Regions from separate parts of the Mus musculus genome. Here region 2 is reported to be linked to region 1. The links are microRNA targets in miRTarBase. Many come from high-throughput screens and were not tested one by one. Region 1 holds a microRNA gene; the other region holds the end of a gene's coding sequence.
What was found. The annotated mature microRNA mmu-miR-301b-3p reads CAGUGCAAUGGUAUUGUCAAAGC and lies in region 1 at 2,145-2,167, shown strand. An mRNA with a match to its seed (bases 2 to 7 or 8) in the 3' UTR can be bound and repressed. Matches are read on the target gene's strand: a 7mer-m8 pairs with bases 2 to 8, a 7mer-A1 pairs with bases 2 to 7 and ends in A, and an 8mer does both.

Region 2: the mRNA of Esyt2 is a reported target of mmu-miR-301b-3p. Seed matches in the 3' UTR shown: 7mer-A1 at 800-806, 7mer-m8 at 2,106-2,112 and 7mer-m8 at 3,109-3,115.

What each region holds. Positions count from the first base shown.
Region 1 is chr16:17,121,514-17,126,586 of GRCm38, reverse strand. It overlaps Mir301b (microRNA 301b), which reads left to right and starts at 2,091; the gene lies at 2,091-2,187. 2610318N02Rik (RIKEN cDNA 2610318N02 gene) reads left to right here and starts at 1,385. Exons shown (of 7, transcript NM_001358255.1): 1 at 1,385-1,597; 2 at 5,036-5,073. The coding sequence starts at 5,070. It overlaps Mir130b (microRNA 130b), which reads left to right and starts at 2,445; the gene lies at 2,445-2,526.
Region 2 is chr12:116,369,730-116,374,802 of GRCm38, forward strand. It overlaps Esyt2 (extended synaptotagmin-like protein 2), which reads left to right. Exons shown (of 22, transcript NM_028731.5): 21 at 283-332; 22 at 442-3,369. The coding sequence ends at 487. Among named protein-coding and RNA genes, the nearest start is that of D430020J02Rik, 33 kb to the right of the region's middle.

The sequences.
Region 1 (5,073 bases):
TACAGATGCCTTTGAGACAACTTGTGGATCCTGGGCATGGAACCTGAGTCCTCTGGAAGAGCAGCCAACCCTCTTAACCACTGAGCCTTCTTTCTGGTGAGCCCCCTCTCTTTAAAGACAGTATTTCATGTAGTTCAGGCTGGTCTTGAACTTCTGGCTCTTTTCTCCACTTCCCAAATGTTGGAATTTCTGGATGTTTTATTTTGTATCTGTGTGGAGCGATGCAGTGTGGTGGCTGTATCCCCAGTACTGCAAAAACCTAGGAGGATTACCATAAGCACAAGGCTAGCCTGGTCTACTCTGTGAGTTCTCAACTAGCCAGCCGTGATATACGATGTCTCAAAAAACCAGCATTCTTTTTTTTCCCAAAGAAGACAAAACAATGTAGGGACTGAGATATTATGGGTCAGTGTTAATAGCATTGGTTGCTCTACCAGAGCATATGGGTTTCATTTCCAGCATGCATGTGTTTGCTTACAATCCTCTATAGTTTCAGTTGCAGAGGATAGAAAGCCTTTTGACCTCCCTGAACACTAGGCATGTACATGGTGGTACAGACAGGCAAACAAAGCACCCATACACAAAAAATTACATTTAAAATTAAGTGGACAAAATGAGTTCTTGAAGATCGAAAACCAGCTCTGTCTGCTTTAAAAATATTTTCTTTCAGCCTTTGAGCTGGGGGGTAAAGATTCCCTGTCTCATATGGATATAACTAGGGGTAAAGCTCAGACGCCAGCTGCAAAACTCTGTTTTTCCCTTCGCTGACAGAACTGAGTAGAACACCTCAGGTTCTGGGTGCTAGGTGCTGTGTATCTTTGGACATATTAGCTCAGAAAGGTCACTTAATGAACTCTTACCCATAAAGTGGTTCACATTCTCAATGACATCAATGACATCAGAGCATTTCTTCACTTACAAAAAGTGCCAGGGCCTCCTCAGCCCAGCCAGAGGTTTCCTGATGACGATGCTCTGAAGTTGGACAGAAAGAGGGAAGGCCACGGTTTTTAAGTAAATGTCCCATCCTGGAGGAGCAATGAACAAATTTCTCGCGAAATACGAAGCATCCCCTAGGGGTTCATTCAACCGCTGGCTTGGCCAAAGGACACTTTGCCGGGATCTCAGAGCCCTCGCTAATTTGGTGAGCTGTGTAGTAAGCATGGACGCGCCCTCATGAGTATCACTATAATAACTACAGAGAAATGAGCTGGGAAAAGGCGGACAGAGCTCCTTTTCAAGAGTTATGAATGAGGAGAAAGTGTTTGTAGAACTCATTGTTAAAACGGTGGAGCCAAAACTCGGGCGCCTGGCCAATCGGAGCCTGGAGGCTATTTTGAAATCTTTCCAGCAGCAGCCAATAGGTGCGCAGGAGGCAAAGCTTGGTGTAGGCGCAAGCCAATGAGGCTGGCGCTGTGCCTTGAGGCCCGGGGCTCGGCCCTCGGGACTGTCAGATGGTTAAAGATGGAGCCGAGGGAGAGAGGGCGCCACGAGGTGCTGAGGTGCGGGGTTGTCCAGATATGACGGGGCCGCCGCCTACCTGGATCTTCCACTAAGCTTCACCTTGTCCCCCTGGTGAGAACAAGAGGTGTCTGTCCACGTGAGTAACTGGTCTGGGATAGGGTGTGCGGTGAGGCCAGGGAAACTCCAGATGCCAGGAAGCCCTAGTTCTGCTCTTCTAGGCAGGAGAATCTGTTAGGATAGAGTGCAGAACTCATACTGGGGGAATGGACCAAGGACCGGATCTCGGACTCCAAGGGCCTCACGTGCAAGGAGTGAAGTATCCCTCTTATTCTAGTTCTGGTCTGAAACAGGGTACAAGTAGTCCCACTGTGCTCCCCTCTGCAACTGAGCGCAGGCCTCTCTCCTTTGTGTTTGAGCCCCCTCGGGTGCTCGCCCTTCAGCTCCCTCCTTGGAGTACCTCACCAGAATCAGAAGCCTGTTAGAGAAAGTTTGAGTTCCCTGAAGTTAATAAGTCCAGAGGACTGCATCCGGGCTGGAATCCCGTCTGTTCTCCGAGCTTGGATAGATGTCCCACCCACCCATGGTGGTTGAATTTCCAGCGCAGCCCTGCGTGCAGCGAGGGCGATGGATTTCCTGCTGGCTGCGGGTGCTCTGACTAGGTTGCACTACTGTGCTGTGAGAAGCAGTGCAATGGTATTGTCAAAGCATCTGGGACCAGCCTCGAAGACCACCTCACCTACTGTTCCTTCTTTCTTCCCTTTCCAGGCCTGGCCCCTCAGGCCTGCAGGCCGTACCCTCCCCCTGCTCATTTTACTCTCTTCTCCATGGAAACTTGAGATTGTAGCCAGGCCCGTGTCTCTGGGGTCAGAGGGCATCCTTTGCTCAGGCCGAGGCTCCGCCCAGGTGGGCATGCGTTCTAGGTCTAAGATCCCACTCCAGCCACCCCAACTCCCCATGCCCCGCCCCACCCCGTGAGACTGACAGGCTTGTTGGACACTCTTTCCCTGTTGCACTACTGTGGGCCTCTGGGAAGCAGTGCAATGATGAAAGGGCATCTGTCGGGCCAGCTAAGGAGCCTGAGGAACAAAAGGGTCAGTGCTTGGATCATAGTCTTAGATAGAGATAGCTATCTCTAGCTAAAAGGATAAGGTGGATGCTGAGAACCATATTCCAAGGCTGGAACCAGTACAAAGGGGAGACCCCAGATTTGGAAAGGCTCCAGTCTCAAGCTCTTAGCCCCCTCCCCCCAGGTTAAGATAGGGGAGTCTGCTGCAGGGGGCGCGGCGGTGAGTGAATGGTAGGTAGCTCATGCCTTAAATCTCAGCACTTGGAAGGCAAAGGCAGGTGGATCACCCAGATCTAGGGCATCCTGGTCTACATAGTGAGTTTTAGGACAGCCAGGGATACACAGAGAAACCGTGTTTTGAGAAAAACCAAATTAACTAATTAATTAATTAATCAATTAAAAAAGAAAGAAAGATTGGTGAGCCCATGTCTGGAGGCTGATGCAGGAAGATTGTCTCAGTTTTGAAGCTGTCTGAAGAATCAAAACAAAACTAGGAACTCCAGGACCTTGTGGAGAGAAACAGATGTTCACCTCTTTGTATGGAAAAGGTTTGTATACCTTGCTTAGCCTTGACTGCCTCGGGAAGAACTGGACTCAGCCTTTCCTGAGATAACCACACCTTGGGTTCACACCTTGAGGCTCAGAAGAAGTGTCCTGCCTGGGCCAGATGGATGGACTTGGAACAAGAAGCCTGCAGAGTAGGCCTGCCAGCCATGTCTGCTTGCTCCTTTACAAAGAGGGTATGTGCTGAGTAGGAGAGGCATGGAGGTGTCTGGTATGTCTGCTTTCCAGACAGGGCTGGAGCTCATTTTTATTTATTTATTTATTTATTTATTTATTTAATTTATATGAGTGCACTGTAGCTGTCTTCAGACACACCAGAAGAGGCCATCGGATCCCATTACAGATGGTTGTGAGCCACCATGTGGTTGCTGGGATTTGAACTCAGGACCCCTGGAAGAACAGTGCTCTTAACCACTGAGCCATCTCTCCAGCCCTGGAGCTGAATTTTTAAGGATGCCCGATCCTTAGTGTGCTTGCAGAGTTACCTTTAGCGGCAAGACCCAATGGCCCATGCCTTTGAATGCAGCACAGGGAAGGCATGGGTAGGTAGATCTCTGTGAGTTCAAGGACAACCTGGTCTACCCTGCACGTTCCAGAAGAGCTATATTTACATGGTAAAGCCCTGTTTCAATGCACCCACCCCTCTTTTACAAACAAACAAAAACCTAGTAGGAGGTGGTCAGGCCTGCCTCCTTGAGAGGAGGCCCAGGCTTCCAGATTCCCTTTTGGGAATAGATTGAGAAAATCAGCCTTAATAGTACTCTAGCTCCACAAGTCCTGGCACCCATGGGGACTGCTCTGATACATAATGAGTCTCAGGCCTGACGGAGGGCTTTGATGGGGAAGAAGCAACCACACTCCTTTGTGGCTAGGGTAGACGTGTGTCAGCAGCTGTTGCCACAGCAGATCCATCCTGAGGTGCTAGGAATCCTAACATGTGCATATCTTACATATCTTACATGTGCATATCTTACATATCTTACATGTACATATCAGGGGAGGTCTGGGCCGCAAAGGATTTAGGTTGGCTAAGTCACTTCTGTGAATTTGAATTGGCTCAGGGTGTAGAACACTTGCCTATTATGCACAAGGTCCTGGGTTTAATCCCTAGCACTCCAGAGGGGAGGGGAGGGAGAGGAAGGTAGCGGAGGTAGGTGTGAGGAGAGGCCACAGGAGGACATCAAGACATAGAGCAAGTAAGTGGTCATGGGTGCAGGCATGCAGTCTCTAATCCCATTGTTTGGGAGGCAGAGTTCCAGCCTGGTCTACAGTGGATTCCAATATAGCTAGAATTACATAGGAGACCTTGTCTCAAAAAACAAGCAAAAGAAGTGGTCAGGACATGATCTGGAGAGGGATGTGTGTAATGCTTCCGAGTAGGTAGGAAACTCAGAGGGTGCAAAAGCCAGAGCTAAAGCCCTTTGGGGGGCAGAAGGAAGTCCTTTTGGATATTATCTTAGTGAACTGGAAAGTAGATTCAATTACCAGGGCGGTCTGGTAGGGCAGAGTATGGAGGGAACTGCAAACTGGGAGAGGGCTGGGTGCTTTGAAACGGAAAGGACCACGGCTCAGAAGGAGGTCAAAATCCAGGAGCTCAAAATCCAGAAGGTACCTGGGTGCCTTTGGCGGTCACAGTGAGGGGTGGAGCAGTGGGGGCGGGGTGGGGTGGGGAGCACACCAATGCGCATGCCTAGAGAAGTGAGCATTGTTACGCGTACTGGTGCTGGACCCGCCCCCTGTCTCTGTGGGCATTCATTCCCTGGGGTAGACCGGGAGGGGGGTGGGTAGTCTGGGGATCTGGAGTCTGCACTGCGGCTGTAGGGAGAGAGTGGGTACGCCCTGCAGTCCTCATCCCGATGGTTTCCCATCACCTTTCTCAGTCCTGGCCCTCGGGAGGGTCTCCCTGCCCCAGGAGCCCTGCCCCGACGGTCGTTCTACCCACAGGTAGCATCGACCCACCACCAGCAGTCCATTTCCAATGG
Region 2 (5,073 bases), not on the chromosome of region 1:
TAGTCACTTCATATCTAAACCACACACTGCCATTAGTGACATATTTGTTAGTATCTCATAGTATCTCTTTTATGTGTTTCATAATAATTGTAATACTATTAGATACAAGAAGAATCTCTTGGATGTACTCAGCTATGTAAAGGTTAAAATGATTTTTAAAAATGAGAACCTCAAAACATGAGATTTTCATATTGTTAAGAAATTAGAGAGGTAGGAAGGAGTGATGAATGATCTAAAAGGAATTACCCAGGAATTTTCACAGAACCTTCTTTTAATCCACAGGTGCTGGTTGTTCTGGCATCTGAAGAACTCGCCAAGGGCTGGACCCAGTGGTGAGTGCCCCTGTCCCAAGTTGCAGGCAGTTCCCAGAGAAACCTAGCTGCTGCGTCTACCATCCCAAAGCCTGACCCAAGTCTGTTGTACTTTCTTGTGCTTTCTCAGGTATGACCTCACAGAAGATGGGACAAGGCCACAGGTGATAACGTAGCTACGCTGGACGTAGGTCTATTTTTCAGTGTATCACGTGGCACCTCAACATGGAACACACCTTCTCGCAGATGTACCAATGCTATTTTTATAATTTTAAGTATTGAGTTATACATACCTTAATAATTTTATAAAACTTGGCATTGTAGGAAAATTTGGCCAATATTATTGTTGAATCTCCCTGTTGAGCTTCCTCCAGTGCTTCACCAGTGGTGTAGTGATGTGTTTCCTGTGCTGTGTGGAGCTCTGTCAGCTGCACCTGCTGGAAAGCAGATACCTGGACTTGTTTCTGCCTTGTCCTGCATCCTGGAGGTGCACTACACCATGTAAATAGATTCTTTTTTATAATATCTACATGCTGGTTTGGATAAAGAAGAAAATGAATTAAGGAAATATGTATTTTCTTCTAAGACTTATTACATTCTGTGACAAATTAATCATTTTCATCTTTTCAGCAAAATGTTCTCATAGATCTGTTGTGTGATATGGCTTTTTAAAGGAAAAAATGGAAAGATTATTAAATATTAGAATTTTTATGTCTATTATGAACGATAAAACAAATTTCAAATTACTAACATTATTATAAATAGGAAAATACAGTGAGAAGTCAGTGAATGGCTAATTTTAAAAGTTGTATAACTGAGTACTGGACAATACCGAGAGCATTGTCAAGGCTCTGGAGAATCACAGTATACTCATCTGAAATGTATTACATAAGAAAGGAATGTGCTGTTTATTTGTGTAATTGTTTGTTATAACAGACTCATGAGTAGTAGAGAGATGCACACATGCTAGGCGTTGTACCTCACATCTGTAATCCCAGGGTATGGGAGGCCACACCAAGAAGACCCAAGTGTTAAAGGCCAGCCTGGGCTACACCTCAAAACTCTGTCTTGGGAAAAAGAAACATACATTATATTTTGCCCAAAGCATATTAGGATATAAGGTGTTATCAAGAGTGATGCAAGCTTAATTTGTTTTGTCCTTGTTTCTTACCCTAGGAAGACAGGTCTGTTGTTACTGTAAAGAGGTGAAATGGGATGGATGCATAGTAACAAAGGGTGCTGAGCTAAAGACGTTAGTTAGAGCACTGCACTTGCTCTTGATGGGAGAACCTGGCCATAAGTCCACACACAGGACAGACACCTTCCCGAGCTTCCCCTCATACGTGACAAAAGATCCTGCGCAGTGCCAGCAAGCTGCTGTAAGGCTTGAGATTTCCTGGATATCCTCATTTTGTGCCATGCCAGATGTTAATACAATTTTTATTTTGGAATCCTTTTATTTTTAGATTGGGAAAAGCATGTTTTGTATGTAAGAGATCTCAAACCTCTTGTGAGGTGAGGCTATGTCACAGTATTATAAGCTATGCTTGTCTGTAAGCAAAAGATGCACAAATGTAGGAAGATTTTTTTTTCAGTATGCATTTTAACCTCTAGGATGAAAAGGGCTTCTCAGCTATGAGATCATTTAAAACTATGTACACTTATAGCAGGAAAATACAGCTTTGTAATCAAAATTGGAGTAGTTCCATTCACATGCTTCTTGGAATTAAACCTATGGGAAGCTTATGTGACCAAACATACCAAAGTGCCTGTGATGAATATCGAGTGCTCCTTTTGCACTCTCCTCCTGTCTAAAAGATGAAAGTGTGCCTCAGTTTGTAATGTAACACGTACAGTTGTAACACAGTCTGTGGCTCTTCACAGCACACCCCAGGTAGTCATACCGTCAGAGTAATCTCTCTCCTGCCATCTGACACCTTCCTCTGAATCCTGTTTATAAATCTTTTTTCATTAGTGAGTAGGATTGTGAGAAAGTTTGTGTAGGTACACACATGAACATATATGCACATAAAATATTCAAGGGTGGCATTTTAGTTGCAGGAGAAAGGCAGGTTATATTAAAACTAGTTGCTTGACCATGGTATTAGCTTTTTTTTTCCTTAAGTGTGTTTTTAATTAAGTCCATTTAAGAGCTTCTGTCTATAAAAGAGATTTTTTTCCTGAAATTGTATCATGGCAATCGTTTTTTCACCAACAACCTATCTATCTTAGTTTTGCATCCATAGACTTAGTTAAGTGTGTATTTTATTTAATGGAATGCTTTTCATAACTAATTAGGCAAATTGAGTAGAGTTAAGGGTACAATCCCCTAATAAATCAGTATGATCCCTACTACAGTCACAAAAGCTGGTGCCAATGAGTTCAGATACAGTGCCCCCACGTGCATCATCTGAGTCTTCAAGTAGCATCTCCAGTCTAAGTGGAAAGGAGACAGAAGGTCTAGTAATACTAGTCCACTTAGTTGTAGTTCTGAGTGCTGCATGAGGAGGGCTGACTTGCCATCAAGGCACACTCCAGTGTCCTAAAGATATAAAATAGATAGATACTTTTAGTTCTCAAAATGTTAACTTTTAGTTTTTAATGACTTACCTAGGAAAAAAGAATGTTACATTTTCTACTTTGAGCCAAACCAATGAGGGAAATTAGTGATTTGAAGTACAGCTCTCCTAACTTATTCATGTGGTGGCTTATCCTGTGCCTTAAAGTACAAAGGTGTTTTCAAGTTTCAGGTGAAAACAGAAGCAGCCTTGCAACCATATGTACTACCATTTGTATTTTGCACTCTATATTTCTTGTACAGGCAGTCCCTATGCAGAGGTGTTTAGGATTAGTTTAAAAAACCTCAGGCAGATACAGAGAGTGCAGCCTGCTGCAGTGAATGGTCCCATCTGGATTACCCACTGTAGGGTAATAGAGGGTGGTTCTTGTTTTTTGTTGTTTGTTTGTTTGTTTTAATCATAGAATGTCCTTTTTGCTTAATTTTATATAACAGCACATGTATTTATTCAATAAAACTTTTATGTTAGTGTACTCGTAATATGTTTTTTGTTTGTCTCTTGAACAAGTTTAGTGTGGGAACAGCTAATTTGGAAAGCTCACATGCTGTTTCAGGTATATTTGCTATTTGTGCATTCTTTCACTGTTCATGTGGTTTGATATTCCTCTTGTTCCCATCCTCGTTCAAAGAGCAAGCAGCTCATTTTGAAGGGCAATGATTGAGCAGAAAAAGTAGACTAAATAAGACTGGAACACTGAGAAGTTCCCAAACAGGATGCTGAGATAGAAGGTTTGAACAATGGGCAAATGCTTGGGTGTCCAGTGTCTCAGGTAGATTTGAGGAAGTACCTTGTTGTCTTTCTTTGGCATCTTCACATTTTACCCTTAGTTTCTCTGTATACATGCTGAAATGCCACCTTTGCTTGACTTTGTTTGTTGATAGGGTAGCTAAGACTGGCTTTCAACTAACAGTCTTTCTACCTTGGCATCTTAAAGGTTGAGATTACAATTGTATGCTCCCAGCCTAGTTTCTTTGTCTTTTATAATGCCTTTGTTTACATTCATTAAAAAAAAAAATCTTAAGACACCATACATTGAGCTATACCCCAACCTTTACTACATTACTCTTTACTGTTGATGTTACAAAACAACAACAACAACAAAAACCCTCTTTTTTGCGGGGCGTGGTGGCGCACGCCTTTAATCCCAGCACTTGGGAGGCAGAGGCAGGTGGATTTCTGAGTTCGAGGCCAGCCTGGCCTACAGAGTGAGTTCCAGGACAGCCAGGGCAACACAGAGAAACCCTGTCTTGAAAAAAAAAATCCTCTTTTTTTCTCTTACCTACACTCTAAATATTAAAGTATACATGTTACTTGTTTTTTTTTTCTTTTTTTTTTTTTTTGTGTTCTGAATACCACTGACCATCTGTGTTTTCTAAATCAGTATCACAAATAGACTATCCAGTTCCCTGTATAGCAACTTTCTTCTATGCATCCTAGCACAGTTCCCTCCTGTCTTTGTCTCTGTCTGTCTAGGGACCTGAGCTGAGGACTAAACAGCATCCTGCCCTGGCTCCCTCCCTCACATACACACATATTAAGTCTTTAATCATGACTTGAAGACATACCTACTTCTGCTACTGCCTCACGCCCATCTTGTCTCTTCTACTCTCAACTCCCAGTTCTCTGTTGCTCCCTTCTTTGTTTTAAAGACAAACCTCAACTACAATTTTCCATTGCTTTTGCAATGAAGACTAAGAATCTATCATCTGTCCCATTCCCTGAGACTGTGCCAACCACGTGTCCTCCAGGATCTACTTGTACTCAAGTTTAGTTACCATGGATCTTCCCACCTCACCATCTCCAGGATGCTTTTCAAGAGCCTGCACATTGTCCATTTCCTTTCCCATGATGTAAAGTTGATTTTCTCAGCGTCCTTTACCAGCAGTCTAACCTTAAGCAGCCTACATGATTCAGACCCTTGGCACCATGTTACCATGTTCATTTTACTTAACAGCGTTTCAGTTGACTATTATAATCTTTCTGCCTAGACTATAATCTACTAAGAGCAGAGACTGTGTGAGTATTAATTTTTAATGACTATTCTTAGCATGCAAATGATAACCCACATATCTGTTGAATGAATGATCTATAAACATTTATAAACTGCACAAGACTCTCATTTAATGAGTTTATATTCAAAGAATTCTGGTTACCTCTAGACAGTTTTATGAAAGGCTAAAGAT